Anolis sagrei: one gene and its partner. The protein of the gene in region 1 purifies or fractionates together with the protein of each later gene. This does not show direct contact. Links are inferred from orthologs where the notes say so. Each region holds a gene or a part of one and is shown on either strand. Other genes may lie near its edges.

What was found.
Region 2: the proteins of ISG15 (region 1) and UBE2N purify together in Homo sapiens (affinity purification with western blotting; 3 studies listed by BioGRID, with this or other methods). This does not show direct contact. The link is inferred for Anolis sagrei from reciprocal best matches to the Homo sapiens genes ISG15 and UBE2N.

What each region holds. Positions count from the first base shown.
Region 1 is NC_090034.1:47,507,285-47,514,288, reverse strand, and holds the start of ISG15 (ubiquitin-like protein ISG15), read left to right. Parts: upstream 1-3,991; 5' UTR 3,992-4,164; intron 4,165-4,194; 5' UTR 4,195-4,225; coding exon 4,226-4,228; intron 4,229-7,004.
Region 2 is NC_090025.1:154,604,252-154,612,045, forward strand, and holds the start of UBE2N (ubiquitin-conjugating enzyme E2 N), read right to left. Parts: upstream 3,002-7,794; 5' UTR 2,896-3,001; coding exon 2,866-2,895; intron 1-2,865. UniProt on the Homo sapiens protein: The UBE2V1-UBE2N and UBE2V2-UBE2N heterodimers catalyze the synthesis of non-canonical 'Lys-63'-linked polyubiquitin chains. This type of polyubiquitination does not lead to protein degradation by the proteasome.

The DNA.
Region 1 (7,004 bases):
CACCAAGGAGTAGATGGAAGTCCAACCAAACTATGGTTTGTTTGTTTTTTTTCATTTATTTTCTACCATTTTTTTTCTTTTTCCCCCCCTTTTGTACATCTATTTTATTATAATTATTTATAATTATAATACTAGTACTAAAAATGAATATTAATAATAATGTAATATTATATTACATTAATATAATATAATATTATAATATTAATAATAATGTAATAATAATAATAATAACAATAATGTAATAATTATAATAAATAGTAAACTAAATCCTTGATTGTTTGTCCCCCCTTTTCTGTATTTTTGGTTTTATTGAATAAGAAAAAACAAGTTGGTACGACAATAAAAATTAATATGAAAAAATAAAAATTAATATGAAAAATTCAAATAATAATAATACCAAATAGTAAGTAAATAGTAAATAAATAGTAAGATAAATCCTAATAATACTAATACATAATGATGTAATAATATTAATAAAATGAAAATAATTAATAATTAATAATCGTCAATATGAATAAAAACATTATAGTAGTACTAATAATAGCAACATTCACACTTATCTCCAACAGACAAGAGTTCTTTCCCCCACCCTGGACATTCCACAAAGATAGAAACCCAATTTTCCTAGTTTCCAACACACCTCACAATCTTTGAGGATGCTTCAGCCATGGATGAGGGTGAAATGTCAGGAGAGAACTGGAAGATGGCCATGCAGCCCAGAAGACTCACAACAGCCCAGTGATTCACACAATCCGAGAATCAAAGAGCTGGAAGAGACCTCCTGGGCCATCTAGTCCAACCCCATTCTGCCAAGAAGCAGGAATATTGCATTCCGGGCATTAAAGCCTTTGACAATACATAATGATAGCAATAAATAGTAAAATAAATCCTAATAAATAATAATAATGATAAAAATAATAATATAACAAAAAGAAATAAAGAGTAAACAAGTAAATAGTATCATAAATCCTAATAATAATAATAATAATAATAATAATAATAATAATAATAATATTTTTGTCGTGTCAGGAGCGACTTGAGAAACTGCAAGTCGCTACTGGTGTGAGAGAATTGGCCGTCTGCAAGGACATTGCCCAGGGGACACCCAGATTATTTGATGTTTTTATCACCCTTGTGGGAGGCTTCTCTCATGTCCCCGTATGAGGAGCTGGAGCTGATAGAGGGAGCTCATCCACCTCTCCCCAGATTCGAACCTGCGACCTGTCAGTCTTCAGTCCTGCCGGCACAGGGGTTTAACCCACTGCACCACCGGGGGCTCCATAATAATAATAATAATAATAATAATAATAATAATAATAATGTAATAGAAGTAATAATAAACACTAAAATAAATCCTAATAATAATCATCTAATATTAATAATAATAAAAAGAAAATAAATCCTAATAATAAAAATTATAATTATTAATAATGTAATAATAGTAATAAACAGTAAACTATATAGTAAAAAAAATTAATAAGAGTAATAAAAGGAAAATAAATCCTAATAATTAATAATTATTACTATTAATAATGCCGTAATAATAGTGATAAAGGGGAAATGAATCCTAATAATTTTTAATCATTAATATTATTAATAATATTATAATAGTAATAAACAGTAAAATAAATACTAGTACTAATAATGAATATTAATAATAATGTAATAATTATAATAAATAGTAAACTAAATCCTTATAGTAATTATTATTAATAATAAAATAAATCTTAATAACAACAATAATTTAGACGAAGAATAAGTCAGTAACATGATAAGGGGAAGAAAGAAGAGAAGGGAAGGATAATACAGGGCCTGGTGCCTCTATAAAAAGAAGAATATATAGAAGGAACACCAAGGAGTAGATGGAAGTCCAACCAAACTATGGTTTGTTTGTTTTTTTTCATTTCTTTTCTACCATTTCTTTCTTTTTCCCCCTTTTGTACATCTATTTTATTATAATTATTTTTTCTCTTGTCCCATTATTCCTTTTTGGCCTCTGTTTCTCCTTTTCCCTTCTCCCCCCCCCCACCCCTCTTGATTGCTTGCCCCCCCCTTTTCTGTATTTTTGGTGTTATTGAATAAGAAAAAACAAGTTGGTACGACAATAAAAATTAATATGAAAAAAATTAATATGAAAAAATTAATCCAAATAATAATACCAAATAGTAAAAACAATCATAATAAAATAATATATAATAAAAAGGTAATAATAGTAATAAATAGTACATAAATAGTAAAATAAATCCTAATAATACTAATAAATAATAATGTAAGAATAATAGTAATAAAAGGAAAATAAATATTAATATTAATATCATCATCAACAACAACAACAGTAACATGCACACCTACCTCCAACAGACAAGAGTTCTTTCTCCCACCCTGGACATTCCACAAATATATAAACCCAATTTTCCTATTTTCCTCACAACCTCTGAGGATGCCTGCCATAGATGCAGGCAAAATGTCAGGAGAGAATGCTTCTGGAACATGACCATACAGCCTGGAAAGCTCACAACCCAGTGATTCCAGCCATGAAAGCCTTCGACAATACATAATGATAGGAATAAATAGTAAAATAAATCCTAATAATAATTAATATTAATAATAATATAATAATAAAAATAATAAATAGTAAACTAGTCAAGACTCAATAGTATAATAAATCCTAATAATAATATGAATAATAATGTAATAAACAGTAAAATATATTCTATTAATAATAAATAATCTAATATTAATAAAAAGAAAATAAATCCTAATAATTAAAATTATATTAATAATATAATAATAGTAATAAACTAAAGCCTAATAACATTAATAAATAATAATTAATATGAGTAATAAAAGGAAAATAAATCCTAATAATTAATAATCATTTATATTAATAATGTAAGAATAGTAATAAAAGGAATAAAAGGAATAAAAAGCCCCCCGGTGGTGTAGTGGGTTAAAGCCTTGTGCCGGCAGGACTGAAGAGTGACTGGTCGCAGGTTTGAATCCGGGGAGAGGCGGATGAGTTCCCTCTATTAGCTCCAGCTCCTCATGCGGGGACATGAGAGAAGCCTCCCACAAGGATGATACAGCATCAAAAATCATCCAAGCGTCCCCTGGGCAACTCTCACAACAGGAGCAGTTGCTCCTGACACGACAAAAAAATAAAAAATAAAATAAAAGGAAAATAAATCCTAATAATAAATAATCTAAAATTAATAAGAAAAAGAAAATAAATCCTAATAATAATTAATATAATAATAGAAATAAATAGTAAACTAAATCCTAATAATTGATATTAATAATAATGTAATAAAAAGTAATAAATAGTAAACTAAATCCTAATAATAATTAATAATAATAGGAATAAATCCTGATAATAATTAATAATCATTTATATTAATAATGTAATAATAGTAATAAAAGGGAAATAAATCCTAAAATTAATAATCATTAATATTAATATAATAATAGTAGTAAAAATAGTATAATAAATCCTTATAGTAATAATAGTAATAAAAGGAAAATAAATCCTAATAATAATCGTTACTATTAATATTAATATATTAGTAGTAGTAATAAATAGTATAATAAATCATTATAGTAATAATAACGTAATAGTAAGAGTATTAAAAGGAAAATAAATCCTTATAGTAATAATAATGTAATAGTAAGAGTATTAAAAGGAAAATAAATCCTAATAATCAATAATCATTATTATTAATGCTATAATAATGGTAATAGAGGAAAAATAAATCCTAATAATAATAATATCATTATTAATACTAAAATAATAGTAATAAGTAGTAAAATAAATACGAGTACTAATAATTATAATGTAATAATAGATAGTAAACTAAATCCGGAGAGTAATTCTGATTAATAGTAAAAGCAATCCTAACAACAGGAGCAGGAGCAGGAGCGTGAACCCAACAGTAGGAAGACTCGGGACTAAGTGAGCTCGCTTGGCTGAGCCCGAGGAGGAGTTTCGTTTTCCTGCCTGAGTTTCGTTTTTCCGCGGGTGGAAACGGAAAGCGCCGCGCGCTTCGGGGGCTGCTCTCCCCCCGCCCCCCCCCCACCCCCGAGGAGCCGCATAAAAGGCGCGCCTGTCAGACGCCCGGCACTTCGGGAACGGGAGGCGCGATTGGAGGCAGAAGAGCAGAGCAGAGCAGAGCAGAGCAGAGCGGAGCGGAGCGGAGCGGAGCGGAAGATTGCGAGTTCGAATCCAGCCATGGTGAGTGACGCTCTTGCCCAGGGACTGAAAGTCAGTGGGGAAAGGCAGAGGAGGAGGAGGAAGCAGCAGCTCCCCTTCACTTGGCCCAGCTCCAGGCCTGCGAAGGGCTCGCTTCAAGCCACGACTCCCAAGACCTCATCGCCTTGAGCCAGGGCAGTTCATCGCGGTACCAAACTGCGTTAACTCTGTAGTGTAGACGCGTCACTGGAAGGAAACGTGACAATTCCCTATTGAGCACCAATTGCCAATGTAGGGCTGCTAAGGCCCCCACTACGTTGCCATATAACATCCAGATTATCTGCCGGATTATATGGCAGTGTAGACTCGGATAATCCAGTTCATATAAAATCCATATAAAATCAGGTTTATCTGCTTTGTACCGGATTATATGGCAGTGTAGACTCGGATAATCCTGTTCATATAAAATCCATATAAAATCCAGATTATCTGCTTTGTACCGGATTATATACCAGTGTAGACTCGGATAATCCAGTTCATATAAAATCCAGATTATCTGCTTTGTACCGGATTATATGGCAGTGTAGACTCGGATAATCCCGTTCATATAAAATCCGTATAAAATCCAGATTATCTGCTCTGTACCGGATTATATACCAGTGTAGACTCGGATAATCCAGTTCAAAGCAAGTAGTGTGGTTGTCAGCTTGGATAAACCTGGATTACATAGCAGTGCAGAAGGGTTCCTGAGTCGACACTGCCATTTAATCCAGGTCAAAGTAGATAATCTGGGTTTTATATGGCAGTGTAGACTCGGATAATCCAGTTCAAAGCAGGTAGTGTGGATTCTCTTCCTGCATAAACCTGGATTATATGACAGAGCAGAAGGGGCCTGAGTCTACACTGCTATGTAATCCAGTTCAAAGTAGTAAATCTGGGTTTTATATGACAGTGTAGACTCGGATAATCCAGTTCAAAGCAGGTAGTGTGGTTGTCAGTTTGGATAAACCTGGATTATATAGCAGTGCAGAACGGGCCTGAGTCGACTCTGCCATATAATCCAGTTCAAAGCAGATAGTGTGGATTTTCTTCTTACATAAACCTGGATTATATGACAGAGCAGAAGGGGCCTGAGTCTACACTGCCATATAATCCAGTTCAAAGTAGATAATCTCGGTTTTATATGGCAGTGTAGAAAGCCTGAATCCAAGATGAACCCATGGGCAAAAAAAAATTCCACCCAAATTGTCGAAGCTTTCTTGGCCAGAATCACAGGGTTGTTGTAGGTTTTTTGGGCTGTATGGCCATGTTCTAGAAGCATTCTCTCCTGACATTTCGCCTGCATCTATGACAAGCATCCTCAGAGGTTGTGAGGTCTGTTAGAATCTAGGAAAATTGGGTTTCTATATTTGTGGAATGTCCAGGCTGGGAGAAAGAACTCTTGTCTGTTGGAGGTAGGTGTAATGTTGCTATTTTTAGTACTATTATTATATTATTATTCATATTGACTATTATTAATTATGATTTATTTTCAGTTTATTAGTATTACTACATCATTTATTAGTATTATTAGGATTTATCTTACTATTTATTACTATTATTACATTTTATTATTTATTTATTTAATTATTTTTATTCAGATTTTTTTTAAACTAGGCTTGCCACAGATGCAGGCGAAACATCAGGAAAGAATGCTACTAGAATATGGCCATACAGCCTGAAAAACCTACAACAATCCTCCCAAATTATTCATAAACAACAACAATAATGATTATAATAATATCATTATGCAACACAGTTTATGTTCCTGGGTTAGAAATGTCATTTCCTGATTGGTTTGGTCATAGAAACATGGGCAAAGTGGATTACACTGCCAAATATATTACCCACCTCTCCTTGCTGCTCAAGGTGGGGTACAACATCATTATTTATCTGGGTTGTTTTTCAGGCTGTATGGCCATGTTCCAGAAGCATTCTCTCCTGACATTTCTCCTGCATCTATGGCAGGCATCCTCAGAGGTTGTGACTGCACAGCCTCTGAGGATGCCTGCCATAGATGCAGGAGAAACGTCAGGAGAATATGCTTCTGGAACATGGCCATACAGCCCGAAAAACTTACAACAACCCAGTTGTAAATGTAATAATCTATATAAATAAAAATGTAATGTTGGTTTTTGGGATTAACAGAACTCAAAAACCAGTGGGCGAAATGACACCCAATTTGGACACAAGACACCTAACAACCCAATGTATGTCCTTCAAGCAAAAAAAAAAAAAAAAAAGATTGACATTTGGGAGATGTAGTTTCTGGGATTTATAGTTCACCTGCAATCAAAGAGCATTCTGAACCCCACCAACGATGGAATCGAACCAAACTTGGCACACAGTTCTCCCATGACCAACAGAAAATACTGGAAGGGTTTGGTGGGCAGTGCCCTTTGGTTTTGGAGTTGTAGTTCACCTACATCCCAAGATCACTGTGGACTCAAACAATGATGGATCTGGACCAAACTCCACGCGAATACTCAATATGCCCAAATGTGAACACTGGTGGAGTTTGGGGAAAAGAAACCTTGACATTTGGGAGTTGTAGTTGCTGGGATTTATAGTTCACCTACAAGCACAGAGCATTCTGAACCCCACCAATGATAGAATTGGGCCAAACCTCCCACACAGAACCCCCATGTGGGCCACAGCAACGCGTGGCAGGGGACGGCTAGTAACAGAATAGAGTAAAATAATAAATGTAATAATAGAGTAAAATCATAATAATAATAATAATAATAATAATAATACAATTAAATAATAAATAATCTTG
Region 2 (7,794 bases), on another chromosome or scaffold:
TATAATTCTATGAAATGCCGTAATTCCACAGCACTGAGCCATGGCAATGCGGTGTCAAACTGAATTCATTCAACAGCGCTGATATACCCTTAGCAAGCCGATTTAGACAATGTGTTGCCAAAGGCTTTCATGGCTGGAATCACTGGGTTGCTGTGTGTTTTCCAGGCTGTATAGCCACGTTCCAGAAACATTCTCTCGTGAAGTATCACCCATATCTATGGCAGGCATCCTCAGAGGTTGTGAAGTTTGTTGGAAACTGGGCAAGTAAGGTTTATATATCTGTGAAATGTCCAAGGTAGTCTTGTCTGTTTGAGGTAAGTGTGAATGGTGCAATTGATCACCTTGATTAACACTGAATGGCCTTGCAGCTTCAAAGCTTGGTTGCTTCCTGCCTGGGAGAATCCTATGTTTGCATTTGCCTAGTTTCCAACAAACCTCACAACCTCTAAGGATGCCTGCCATAGATGTGGGTTTTTGTTTCATGTCAGGAGCGACTTGAGAAACTGCAAGTCACTTCTGGTGCGAGAAAATTGGCCATCTGCAAGGACATTGCCGAGGGGACACCCAGATGTTTTACCATCCTCATGGGAGAATTCTTTCAGGTCACCGCATGGGGAGCTGAGGCTGACAGAGGGAGCTCAACCCAGTCTTCCTGTATTCAAATCAATGACGTGTCAGTCAGCGATCCTGCTGGCACAAGGGTTTAACTCATTGTGCCATGGAGTGCTATGATAATTTGGGATAAATAGTAAAGCTGGGTTCAGATCAGATATATGGCCTGTCTGGAAGGGCCCTCAAAAGGTGTCTAAATCTGGGTTGCTGTGAGTTTTCTGCACTGTATGGGCATGTTCCAGAAACATTCTCTCCTGATGTTTCACCCACATCTAGGGGGCACATTGGGTTAAAACCTTGTGCCAGCAGGATTGCTGAATGACAGGTCAATAGTTCGCATGAGGGGAAAGCGAGCTGAGTTCCCTCTGTCAGTTCCAGCTCCCCATGCAGTGACATGAGAGAAGCCTCCCACAAGGATGATAAAACATCCGGGTGCCCCCTGTGCAATGCCCTTGCAGAATACTTTGGTTTGAAGCTGCAAGGCCATTAAGTGCTAATCAGAGTGATCAACTGAAACATTCACACTTGCCTCAAACAGATAAGAGTTTTCTCCTGCCCTGGACATTCCACAGATCTATAAACCTCACTTGCCTAGTTTCCAACAAACCTCACAATCTCTGAGGATGCCTACTATAGATGTGGGCGAAACATCAGGAGAGACTGCTTCTGGAACATGCCCATACAGCCCGGAAAACTCACAGCAACCAAGTGATTCCAGCCATGAAAGCCTTTGACAACACAGTGTCTACATCCACTTGCCATGAGTATATCTGCACTGTTGAAGGAATGCAGTTTGACATCGCTTTGATTGCCATGGCTCGCTGCTGCGGAATTATGGCATTTCACAGAACCATAAAGTTGCAAGAGACCCCAAGGGCCATCCAGTCCAACCCCCTTCTTCCATGCTGGAACACACTATAAAAGCCACCCAACAGATGGCCAGAGGAGGAGACTTCATCACGCTCTGAGGACCATACTCCACTGCAAAAGAGCTGTCACCAACAGGAAGTTTTTCCAAATGTTTGGGTGGAATGTCTTTTCCTGCAGCTGGAATCCATTGCTCCTGTTCCTGGTCTTTAGGGCAGTGGAAAACAAGCTTTCCCCTTGAGAGATGTCCTCACTATAAATTTCTAGGTCTCCCAGCATGACAAAAAGGTATGAACCATAGGGTCACCTGGGAGCTGGAAATTCCTAGGGAAGACATTTGAATCAAATCTAGAGAAGTCAAAACCACAAATGTGTACTAGTGATGGGAGTAAAATGGGAGGGGCCTGAGGCTGTTAGGAATGGTGAGAGTTGAAGGCCAAAACAACCAGGGAGAGAGGGTTCAGCTCCCTCTATCCATTCCAGTTCCCCATGTTGGGACATGAGAGAAGCCTCCCACACATGACTGGTAAAACATCCAAAAACTTCCAGGCGTCCCCTGTGTAACGTCCTTGCAGACGGCCAATTCTCTCACACCAGAAGCGACTTGCAGTTACTCAAGTCGCTCCTGACACGTAAAAAAAAAAATTCTGGCAGTGCGGACTCATATAATCCAGTTTACAGCAGAAAACCTAGGATCCGATCTTGGGATATAGGGCCTGTCTGGAAGGAGCCTAAGAGGCGCTCCTGGGTCATGACTGAAACCCGGCCACGCCTCTCCTCCCAAATTGAGGGTCTGGTTTTGAAGCAGAGGCTGGATGGCCATCTGTCGGGAGTGCTTGGCGCGTGTGTTCCCGGGGGTCACTTCCAACTCGGCGATTCTGTGGGCGAAGCGGGCAAGGAGTGGCCCTCCTCACCCTGGCGGAGCAATGCCTGGGCGCTGAGGGCATCATCTGGTGCGCCTTTTGCGGCATTTCCCCGCCATTCCAGCCCGTCCTTGAGTCACAAACAGAGCCGCCTCCCTTCACCGCAGAGGGGCAGCGAGAGAAGGCTGGCGGGAGGGAGAGAGAGAGGCGGCAGGCCTGGCCATTCATTCCCTCGCAGCTCCCTCCTTCCGTCCGCGCGGTCACTCCCACCTGCCCGACTGCCCGCCCGCCTCAAATGGCGGCGCGTTCCCACTCTCCCTGTTGCGGCCCTCAGGCCTCGCAGAGGCGCAAGAGGCAAGGCCAGCTGAGGGCACCGGAAGCGCCGCCTTCCCCGCTGAGTCCCGGCTCAGGGCTCCTCTCCGCCCAAGGCCCAAGGCCCGGCCGAGAGGCCCAAGAGGCCTGTCTCCCTGCGCGGAAGGCCTCAGGCGAGAACGGTGAGGCCGAGGGCGCGAAGCCGACCTACCTTGATGATCCTGCGGGGCAGCCCGGCCATCTTGTCTTATCGGGGATTCAGGCTCCGCTGGGTCTCGGCTCCGCTCGGGGCTCACGCGCTGCCGGAAGGAGTCCGTTCTTCACTTCCGGCGACGTCACCCGCTGGGCCGCTGCCCCGACGCACGCCGGGAAAGGGAGTCCTCGGCGGGGCGCGAGGGCGCCTGGAAGGAAGGCGGAAGGAAGGCCGCGCGGGCTCAAGGCAAGGCAGTTCCTTGCCCTGCCTCATTGCAGTGGGATCCTGGGAGTTGTAGTTTGGTGAGGCGCCGGCATTCTTTGGCAGGAGGAGCAGGCTGGAGCAGACATGGGCAAACTTAGGCCCTCCAGTTGTTTTGGCCTTCAGTTCCCGATAATAGTATGATATATTGTCGCAGGCTTTCATGGCCGGAATCACTGGGCTGTTGTAGTTTTTTTCGGGCTATATGGCCATGTTCTAGAGGCATTTTCTCCTGACGTTTCTCCTGCATCTGTGGCAAGCATCCTCAGATGTAGTGCTACCTCTGAGGATGCTTGCCACAGATGCAGGAGAAACGTCAGGAGAAAATGCCTCTAGAACATGGCCATATAGCCCGAAAAAAACTACAGCAATCCAATAGTATGATAGCTGGGTCCGGAAGCTCCGAGCCTAACGCTGTTTCTACTTCGATCCTTCGGGAGCGCTGAATGCGCAACGCGATATTACAGAAGGAATATAAGAGTTCTTTAATGGTAAAACCCTAACCGAACTCTAAACCTAACCCCTAATCCTAACCTAACTCTAAACCTTACCCTAATCCTAACACAAACCCTAACCCTAAAGCATATTCTAACCTTACCCTAACCCTAACGCAAACCCTAATTCTAAAGCTTACCCTAAATCTTGCCCTAACCCTAAATCTTACCCTAAACCTAACCCTTAATCCTAACCCTAAAGTTTACCTTAACATTACCCTATGCCCAATCCTTACCCTAACCTAAAACCTAACCCAGGGGCGGCTCAACCCATTACGCAAAGTAAGCATTCTCAGTATAGTTGATTTTGCCCAGGGGCGCTCTTGGGGAAAAATAGACCTTGACATATGCGAGTTGTAGTTACTGGGATGTATAGTTCACCTAAAATCAAAGAGCATTCTGAACTCCACCAATGATGGAATTGAACTAAACATGGCACACAGAACTCCCATGATGAACAGAAAATATATATCAGTGATTGGGGGGGGGGGGGCGCCAAAATACTGTTTGCTTACCGTTGAAAATTACCTAGGGCCGCCTCTGACCTAACCCTAAACCTCATCCCAACCCTCCCCTCATTTCTAGCCTTCTACCCTTACGTGGTCCCTTCTCTTATTCACAACCACTCTTGCAAAATGTGCATAACGCTCAGAGCTTCCGGACCCAGCTATCATACTATCACCCAATTCCCACCATTCCTAACAGCCTCAGGCTCTTTTCTTTTCCCCTTCAGGCGCTTAACCCTAGTGCCCCAGTCCCAGCGAATGTGGACAGAAGGTGCTGTCTTTGTATGCCAGCTGAACAGTTTTGGTTAATTTATATGCAAGCTATGCCAGTGGAAACTGATCTAACACACATAAGGCACTGCCTTGATTGTGTTACCTTGTTCTCTGAGGCCACTATAGCAGTGTGTTGTTCATTCGTTCAGTCGCTTCCGACTCCTCGTGACCTCATGGACCAGCTCACGTCAGAGCTCCCTGTCAGCCGTCACCACACCCAGCTCCTTCAGAGTCAAGCCAGTCACTTCAAGGATACCATCCATCCATCTTGCCCTTGGTCGGCCCCTCATCCTTTTTATAATAATAATATTTTTTTAAAAAAAAAACTTTATTTGTACCCCGCTACCATCTCCCCAGCTTCTGCCAACCTAGCAGTTCGAAAACATGCAAATGTGAGTAGATCAATAGGTACCGCTCCGGCGGGAAGGTAACAGCGCTCCATGCAGTCATGCCGGCCACATGACCGTGGAGGTGTCTACGGACAACGCTGGCTCTTCGGCTTAGAAATGGAGATGAGCAGCACACCCCAGAGTCAGACATGACTGGACTTAATGTCAGGGGACTACCTTTACCTTTACCTTACCATCTCCCCAAGGGACTCAGTGCGGCTTTCATGAGGCCAAGCCCACAGCACATCAATAAATAAAAGCGATAACAATCAATACAAACAGTTGAAATAAAAACTCAAAACAAAAAATACACAATAAACAGTAACAATAACATAGAGCATTAAAAAACCTATGGCCGGGCCAAATGTAATAATTAAAATTTAAAAATGCTGGGCATGAAACAAGGTAAGGTAAACTAGGATAGGGTTTTCAAAGAAAGATGAGGGCACGTAGACAATCCTAAATCAGTATTAAAGTGCATTTTTCCTTCCATTTTCCCCGGCATCATTGTCATCTCTAAGCTTTCCTCTCTTCTCATGATGTGGCCAAAGTACTTCATCTTTGCCTCTAATATCCTTCCCTCCAATGAGCAGTTGGGCTTTATTTCCTCAAGTATGGACTGGTTGGATCTTCTCGCAGTCCAAGGCCCTCTCAGAATTTTCCTCCAACATCACAGTTCAGAAGCATCTATCTTCCTTTGCTCAGTCTTCCTTATGGTCCAGCTCTCACATCCGTAGGTTACTACAGGGAATACCATTGCTTTAACTATGTGGATCTTCATTGCCAGGGTGATGTCTCTACTCTTCACTATTTTATCGAGATTGGTCATTGCTCTCCTCCCAAGAGGCAAACGTCTTCTGATTTCCTGGCTGCAGTCTGCATCTGCAGTAATCTTTGCACCTAGAAATACAAAGTCTGTCACTGCTTCCACCTTTTATCCCTCTATTTGCTATCAATAGCAGTATCAAAATAAAAAGTATATGACAGACTGAAAAATACATACAGAGTATTAAATTACCACCAGCAATGCACTAAATAACCTGATTGTAATATTTCAGTTTTTTAAAATTTGGTTGCTATTTTATAGTACTGTTTGGTTTAGACTGCATTGTCATAAAGTTTATATCAGATGCATGTGTGTAAGTGAGCAAGATTGGCCCCAAAGTACACTTATGTTGTAGGCATTTCTATGTGCTACATAAGCCAAGCACTATGGACGTATATGTACAGATACATATATAGGTTGAATACCACTTATCCAAAATGCTTGAGTTCAGACATGTTTGCGATTTTTTGGATGTTGGGATATTTTCATCAATGTTCTGGGATATCTTGGAGATGAGAGCCAAACTTAAACACAATTTTTCATATTTCATATACACTCTATACCAGGCATGGGCAAACTTGGTCCCTCCAGGTGTTTTGGACTGCAACTCCCACCATTCCTAACAGCCTCAGGCCCTTTCCCTGTCCCCCTTTCCCTTTCCCCCTCAGTCGCTCAAGCAATGTTATCTGCCATTAAGTCAACTTCAACTTATGGTGATCTTAAGAATGAGAGACCCCCAAGTCTTATTCTGATCCTGCAAATGCTTCTTCATAGGGTCTATCCATCTGTAATAAGGTCTTCCGCTTTTTCTATTGCCTTCCCAAACATTACACAGGCTTGTGATTATTTTTTTTCAATATTGTCACATTTTTTTAAAATGCTGAATTCAAACAAAACACAATAAAATGTCATACCATGTAAGTCTTTCACAAATTCATTATTTTTTAAAATTCAGTCAATTTCGATTGTAAGCACTGATGATTTGTTTGAATGATTTTGAACAGCTTTTTATGTTTCATATCCAATTAAAGTTTTTTGAAAACCTGTTGGAAAAGTTTAACCACTTTCTTATTCTTCTCCCAATGAAATTTTACTCAATTACATGTTACAAAATAAAAGCATTAAAGTTAGTTGTGAATAAATGTTAGCTCACTTTGCGATTTGTAATGCCAAACTCCTGTAAATGTGGATAATTTTCAAAAACTGTTAATGACCCTCAATTTACCAGGCCTGTTGTCTGTCATCTATTAAATCATGTTTTTTCATATAGGTCCCAACCAAACTACACTGGGGAACACTTTCTACCTTTGTCCCACACCAGTTTCTAAAGACCTACTGCTATTTATTAGACATATGTACGAGCATTTCTGTTCAGTCACCATTACATTCTTATCCTTTATTCGTTTTTCTTATCACACTTGCATTGAAAACAGCCTCCGTTTCTTGTGTGCCATTGAGATCATGTAAAGGAGCAAGGTTAGTTTCAGTAATGTGAGATTCCAAAGGTCATTTCAATTTCGAGCCTTCTCAGAAGGGATACAGCTTCCTAAGACGGCTGCCTGGCTGGTTTGTATTTTAAGAAGTACTACAAAGGATCCGTATGAGAGTTAAAAGTTGAACTTGATTAGTATTTCTTGGCTACTTTAGGCAACTGTCTTAAATACTTGAATGGGTGAAAATATATTTGAACGCAAGAGTGTAACTTGAGTAAATGCCAAGAGGATCAAACAGTTTTCCCTTTTAACTTCTTACATCCCGGGAATGGTGTTGTGACAGAATCTAATGGATAGCAATTTGGTTTTTGGTTTTTTTGTTCATTTGTTTTTAGAAGGGCAATGCTGAACTGTTTTTCCCTAACAGAGTGGATGAGAACATTACTTTTCCAAGATATGTCCACATCATTGCACAATGCAACTGTTGAACTGTACATATCACCATATCACCATTTTCACAATATATTCACATTTAGCCTATAAACCAATACATTCTTCTTTCAGCAAATATGGTCCTGCTACTCAAAATAAAATACCCCCACCGCCTGTGAAGCGGACAACAATATCAACTGAAATGTTGTTGCAGGGGAAATTGCATCAACCCTAGATACCATAGAGAGCGGCAAAAGATGGAAGGAGTTGTAATCTAACTATATTTCAAGGACCTCATCCATCTTGTTAGGAAGAAATAATTTTGGCTGTTGC